2 linked regions of the Saccharomyces cerevisiae S288C genome follow. The protein of the gene in region 2 interacts with the protein of the main gene of each other region in a pairwise test. Each region holds a gene or a part of one and is shown on either strand. Other genes may lie near its edges. The genes, in order: STB2 and YAP7.

Region 1 (3,931 bases), on a different chromosome or scaffold from region 2:
ATGGAGAAGAAGTTGTTGCTTATTGTCAATGTCTTCAAATCTCCCTTCAAACACTTTTGCACCATCTGAATACTTCTTATATAGTTCTTGCAGTCTTTTATATCTTTCGTTGAATTTAGAGTACTGACCAACAGTTCCCTCCTTATTTAATTTACCCATATAATGCTCATCCATTTCTTGTATGTGTTGCTGCGCTTGGATGTCGTATTTCATTCGTAACAAATCTCTAGCTATTCGAACAACAGATGGATCAAATGGTAAATCCCATTTTTCCACAATATTCTGTACAGCAGAAGAAGAGTTGCATCTATACAAACGAGATGACTTTTCCTTCAGCTCTGAAAGATCTTCATAAATGTTGTCGTGTGTGCGATCTTTACAATAGGGAAACGAATTTCTTCGGTAGTATTCTCCTTGATATAATTTGTTGATGCCAAAATTATATGCATATTTGGTATTATCGTAGTTTGGAAACATTGATGACACTGTTGCAGATGAGGGCATAGCATTGGTCCTCCCTATGTCTTCAGATGTATCAAGACTGGAAGAACTAACCTTTTTGGAGGCGTGCTTTTGAGCGTATGCGATTCTTTCCAAACGAAATTTTTCTAGTAGCATTTCCCTTTCTCTTATCTGCCCATCAGGATCGCCTCTCTGGTAGTTAAATTTCAAAAATTCTTCATTAGAAATATCCGTACAGCATTTCCTTGGGTGTCCCTTACCTTTCCATAGTAGTCCTACAGAGCCTCCATGAATATTATGAATAAGTGTATCTAGATCTGTTGTAAGAATTTTGTGTGACAGGTTGATGGGATTTCCCTTTCCTATGATGTCCTGTACCGTTGATGTCACCATTTTCTTCAGTTTAAAAATGTCTTTGCTAGAAACTTTCGCTGTCACTTCAAAGAGTTTCTCTAACGTTCTTGGGTCTAAATAAACTCTAGATTTTCTTTTATTGAGGCCATGCTTTTTTTGGAAATTATAAATACCTTGGAAGAAACCAGCTTCATCAAAGGGATCCTTAGAGGAAATGCAATTTTCTATCATCAACTTGAAATAGCAACAAAGGATCAAACTAATTAGGCCAGCTACTGTCGTCGGACCCAGTGTGCATTCATTCCTTGGCTTTTCTGTACCAAGGTACAGTTTCCCGTAAGTTTCCCACCATTCATCTATAGCTCGCTTGGTGTCTTCACACAAAAGACCATCCGTCTGGTAGTTCTTAGATAACAAATTGAAATAACTCAACGAAATTTGAATTAAAGTTACCATCTCCACGACTGGTGATTTACTATCGGTATTTCGACACTTTGAATTTCCAACCGTCTTGTATTCTTCCTCAGGCAAACGCGGTTGCTGCTGCTGAATCATTTGGGGATACTGTGCAATAAAACCATTTGTAGGGATTTTGAACAGTTGTGAAAACTTATCAAGTGATGCCATAGTTGGAGGGCATAACAGATTTGCCGATCTTCCACCACAATGCAGGTTTTTCAGATCAAAATTAACCTCGAAATCCTTCCAAATTGTTCTCAAGTCACCACATTCCACATGCAACAGATTCAAGCCAAAGGACACACCCGAAAGATTGGTAATAAATAGAGTGCCCTTTGGTGTAAATTTTGGCCGCGCAAATTCCATTAATTCTTCAAAATACAGTCTAAATCTCCCTGGCCACATACTCGTATCCTTTGGCAAAACGACTCTGACTCCCGATATTGTATCCTGAGAGTTTCCTGTATATGACGTAATCAATGTTGACAAATTCCTACATGCTACCCATTGCTCCACAATATATATTTCAAACCCGTGTACGATAATTTCTTCATAAGTTAAATCAGCATAGTTGCCTAAATCTAACAAGAACAAAGCCCTAGAATCTGGGAATATAAAACTGTCGAGAGGCGGGAGCTGGCTCACAGTATCATTCTTTATCAACCCAACCACTTCCGAATCATCTGAGTGACCATAGTAACTACTTCCACTGTAATTGGTTTCCTCATTGTTTAATTCATCGTAATAATCACCGTTTGCATCTTTTTGTCCACGTTCTCCAAAGAAATTATCATCGAGTGTATCCCTAGTGGAGTAAATTCTTTCTAAATCCTGCATATGTTTTCCATCAAACTGGCTAGTTTTGTCTCCTGTGGCAATAGTATCCGCCATAACCATACATATTTATTAATAGGTGCTTCTTCCAGGGTCTAGTTCATTACCTCCCCTAAATATCATTCTCAGATCATTATAGCTTCTATTTCCTGTTATGCGGGTAGCGGGGCTTATTTTTGTTTCTCAAAATAGAGGTGTCCTTTTTTGCCATTTTTGTTTATGTAGTCAACTGCATAGGTAGTTAAGAAAAGACATAGGCCCACGAAGGTGATTGGAAGTTCAGTGTTGACAATAATAGAATAGTAGCACACTCTTTTTATTTCGTTTTGCTTACAGTTTTGTACTCGCTTTTGCTTTTGCTTGCAAATAATATCCTCGTGACCTCGAGGCTTACATTAAGGTGCATATCATAATTCGCAACAGACGCATTCTTATTCTCTAAAATTCCTCGAGTTATATGAATAATTATGAATCAAGAAGAGGCTATATTCCGGTCAGCAGACATGACGTACGTCCAACTGTACATACCGTTGGAAGTCATAAGAGAGGTAACTTTCTTATTAGGGAAAATGAGTGTCTTTATGGTGATGGATCTCAATAAAGATTTAACTGCCTTTCAAAGAGGTTATGTTAACCAGTTGAGGCGTTTCGATGAAGTGGAAAGGATGGTAGGCTTCTTGAATGAGGTAGTTGAAAAGCACGCCGCAGAGACCTGGAAGTATATTTTACATATCGATGATGAAGGAAACGACATTGCCCAACCCGATATGGCGGATCTCATCAATACCATGGAACCACTATCGTTGGAAAATGTTAATGACATGGTGAAGGAAATTACTGATTGCGAATCCCGTGCAAGGCAATTAGATGAATCTTTAGATAGCCTTAGAAGTAAACTGAACGATCTTTTAGAGCAAAGGCAGGTAATATTCGAATGCTCAAAATTTATTGAAGTCAATCCTGGGATTGCTGGAAGAGCTACAAACCCCGAGATTGAACAAGAAGAAAGGGATGTTGACGAGTTTAGAATGACCCCTGATGATATCAGTGAAACATTAAGCGATGCTTTTTCTTTTGACGACGAAACACCACAGGACCGGGGCGCTCTAGGGAATGACCTCACTAGAAACCAATCAGTCGAAGATCTAAGCTTTTTAGAGCAGGGATACCAGCATAGATACATGATAACAGGCTCTATCAGAAGAACAAAAGTAGATATATTGAACAGAATCCTGTGGAGGTTATTGCGTGGTAATTTGATCTTTCAGAATTTTCCAATAGAGGAGCCATTGTTGGAAGGTAAAGAAAAGGTTGAAAAGGACTGCTTTATTATTTTTACTCATGGTGAAACATTGCTCAAGAAGGTTAAGCGTGTCATAGATTCCTTAAATGGTAAAATAGTCTCCCTGAATACTCGTTCTAGTGAATTAGTTGACACCTTAAACCGTCAAATAGACGACTTGCAAAGAATCCTGGATACTACCGAACAAACTTTACACACAGAACTGCTCGTTATACATGACCAGCTGCCAGTATGGTCCGCCATGACGAAAAGGGAAAAATATGTTTATACCACATTGAACAAGTTCCAACAAGAATCACAGGGTCTAATAGCCGAAGGTTGGGTGCCTTCCACAGAATTGATCCATTTACAAGACTCATTGAAGGATTACATTGAAACGTTGGGTTCTGAATACAGTACCGTCTTTAATGTGATCCTAACCAATAAATTACCACCTACATACCATAGAACCAACAAGTTCACTCAGGCCTTCCAATCGATTGTGGATGCATACGGTATCGCAACATATAAAGAAATCAA
Region 2 (3,507 bases):
TTGGGTTACGAAATCAAAGTTTCTACTAAGCTTTTGATTAAATTTGCTCAGGGTTACGAGTTGTCTAGAAGAGAGAGGAACCAATTGAGGAGGACAATGGGCGATGTGTTTAGGTTGATCCCTTTTTCAGCGTTCCTTATTATTCCATTCGCCGAACTATTTTTGCCTTTCGCTTTGAAACTCTTCCCCAACTTACTACCCTCCACTTACGAATCCGGCAAGGATAAGCAAGCCAAGAGAAATAAGCTCATCGAGATCAGAAAAAAGACATCCGAATTCTTGCATGAGACTTTGGAAGAATCCAATTTGATCACTTACAACACCATTGAAAATGCAGAGAAGAAGCAAAAATTTTTGAATTTTTTCCGGAAGCTTTATTCTGCCAAGGAAGGTAAGATTATGACTTTCCAACACGATGAAATAAGCGCCATTGCGCAAATGTTCAAAAACGATAGCGTTTTGGATAACTTGTCAAGACCACAATTGGCAGCAATGTCGAAGTTTATGTCACTAAGGCCATTTGGTAACGATAACATGCTTCGTTACCAAATTCGTTCCAAACTAAAGGATATAATGAACGACGATAAAACTATTGACTACGAAGGCGTTGAAAGTTTATCGCAAGAAGAGCTGTATCAAGCTTGTGTGTCTCGTGGTATGAAAGCGTACGGTGTATCCAAGGAGGACTTGGTCGATAATCTAAAAGTTTGGCTAGAATTGAGACTGAGACAAAAAATCCCATCCGTCTTGATGGTTTTGAGTTCCACGTTCACGTTTGGAGGACTTCCAAAGGAGAACTATTCAAAGGCATTCTCGCCACTAGCTGAAAAAAAAGAAACAAAAAGCAAATATGACGACCTTTTGGATCTGTACTACGACGGTATATTACAAGTGCTAAGTTCCATTCCAGATCCCGTTTACAACGTCGCAAAACTAGATGTATCTGAATCGAAATCATCCGCTGCTGAAACTGAAGCTGAAAAGCAAGTTGCTGAAAAGAAGATAAAGACGGAAGAAAAACCCGAGGAAACTGCTATACCGAAGGAAGAAGCCACCGCAAAAGAGTCTGTTATAGCTACCACCGCTTCTGCGGTTACTCCTAAACTAGTCGTAGTTAATGAAAAGGCAGAAACAGCGAAGACAGAGGAAATATCTCAGGAAAAAGAGAACGCAGAGCCTACCGACTCTGCGGAAGCCACGGAAGCTGAAGAAAAGAAGACATCCGACGATAACGAGTTCAAATTGAACGTTTTGAAGGAGCAAGAAGAACTAATAAAGAAGGAGGAAGAGGAAGCTAAGCAAAGAGCTTCGAGAGAGCATGTGCCAGATGATATCAACCTAGATGAAGAGGAAGAAGCAAAATCTGTACCTCCCATTCCGGCCGATCAAGCTGCGAAGACTTTTGTCATTAAGAAAGATTGATATTAGATCAAAGCCTAAGAAAAAAACTAAAAAAAACTAAAAAAAAAAAGTCAATCGGTTCTCTTTTCTCTGACAACAATGGCAAAAGATCAAAGAGAAGCGTACGTCACGGCAAAACCAGCGACCCTTCAAAACTAAATTATTATGCATGTATATAATAGACACCCTATCTAAACTACCGCCTTATTTTTTTTTTTATACAGGAGCAAAGTGTCTTTTTTGTGATGGCCACGAGGGTCCTTTCACTCATGACTCCTTAATCAGCATCTTATGAGCTGGATTTTCATATATCGGCGATTTTTTTCATCGGTAATGCACGCAGTAAAGCTGCTCGCTCGAGAAAAATTAGTAATATATGGAAGAAGAAGCATAAGCATAAAAGAGAAAATCCGCTGCCCCACCGTAGAAAGCAAACAAGGCTATTGGTTATTCCTCTTTTCACCTGTACTTCAATCTGTAGCACATCATCATAAGAGGCTTGAAAGTTGCTCAAGAACAGTTTCAACGGTTTTTTCTTTTGAAATTTGAAAATTGCTCTTCGTTTGTTGAGCCGTTATCAAGGAAGTAAATCATCAATTAAAGAATATAGAAAGGCACAAAATTTTGTCATTTACGCACACTTTCAATGGATCATGAGACAACGAAGGTCTGTAGTAGCAGTTAGCGTAAAGCCCAAAGGCTTCAAATTGGGGCATAAACAGGGTTCCATGTCTACGACGTCTCCACCTCCATCCTCACCAGATGGAAATGTGAGTACATCAGGACCGTCAGCTATTAAGTTATCCAAGAATTGGGAGTTACCACAGCGCCTAAAACCGGGCCGCAAACCGAAATCCAAGCGCGGGGATGCATCAGCTAATAATGATGGATCGTCCAAGATAAAGAAGGTTCAAACTTCCAACCAGAAAGACCAAATGACCACAAAAGATCATGAGAACGAAGGCGCAAAAGGTCATGAGGGGAAATCTGATGATGAAGGCAACGGAAGTGGTGATGAAAACGGTGTCGATAGCGTGGAAAAGCGAAGGAGGCAAAATAGAGATGCGCAAAGAGCATATAGGGAACGCAGAACAACAAGAATCCAGGTTCTGGAAGAGAAGGTTGAGATGCTACACAATTTGGTCGATGATTGGCAAAGGAAATATAAACTGCTGGAATCTGAGTTTTCCGATACAAAGGAAAACTTGCAAAAATCAATAGCATTAAACAACGAATTGCAAAAAGCCTTGCCTTTGATTGTTAATACTCCATTTCAACAGCAGCCAGAAAACCCGCCAGACAATCCTATTTCGATATTAGAAATGGTAGAAAACTTTAAACCAATCGGCGCTGTCAGTTTAAAAAAAGGAAAGCTGAAGGCCCATTGTTAACATCTCATGTGCCCGCGGTATTAACAGACCAGTCTTTGTCTGAGATTGATATAGCCAACGATTATCAATATCTGAGCGGCAGACAGTTTAGTTCAACGAATTCATCGCTTGATGGCCATATTAATTCACCTCTGTCTTCATGCAGCAGCAGTATCAATGCATGTGCAGGCAGTGGCAACAAAAAAATAAAATGTTGTAGGAATAAAGATGCCATGAAACCAGTAACATGTTGCAACCAAAAGAATAACATAATGCCATCCTTAGTCCCCGTTTGCTGTTCAGAAAAGAAAATAGAATCCGATGCTAAGAAATCAATATCGAAATGCTGTGGAGACAAAGAAATCTACGATAGCGAGAATAGACCGATCACTAAAGAGGATGGGTCATGGATACCTGGAAGCTGCAAGCAATGTAGATCAGACCCCCATAGTAGGAATTTTTGTCAATCACTTTCGAATAAATGTAGTTCAAGCTCTTTCTCTTCCAACAGTGCGTTGTCACCGGATCTAAATGAACAACAAACTGACGTAAATTACAATTCAATCAAGCTACCCGAAATATGTTCCTGCAAGAATGCACAAATGAATGCGGCTTCCGATGCAAAGAGGTATCTGCCGATCAGTTACACATATCAAAAAATCCGTCAACATATGCAAAAAAATAAAAGTATCCAAGAACAACTAAATCCTGAGGATTCAACTTCGATCTCATCAGC

What was found.
Region 1: the proteins of YAP7 (region 2) and STB2 interact in a two-hybrid assay, tested with the Saccharomyces cerevisiae proteins (one large-scale study listed by BioGRID).

Annotation. Positions count from the first base shown.
Region 1 is NC_001145.3:380,727-384,657, forward strand, and holds the start of STB2 (Stb2p), read right to left. Parts: upstream 2,173-3,931; coding exon 1-2,172. Other genes in the region: STV1 (H(+)-transporting V0 sector ATPase subunit a), read left to right, coding at 2,577-3,931.
Region 2 is NC_001147.6:269,918-273,424, reverse strand, and holds YAP7 (Yap7p), read left to right. Parts: upstream 1-2,054; coding exon 2,055-2,792; downstream 2,793-3,507. Other genes in the region: ribosome-binding protein MDM38, read left to right, coding at 1-1,422; YOL029C (uncharacterized protein), read left to right, coding at 3,005-3,507. UniProt on the Saccharomyces cerevisiae protein: Probable transcription activator linked to cell cycle that induces transcription activation of genes in the environmental stress response and metabolism control pathways, like the closely related YAP5.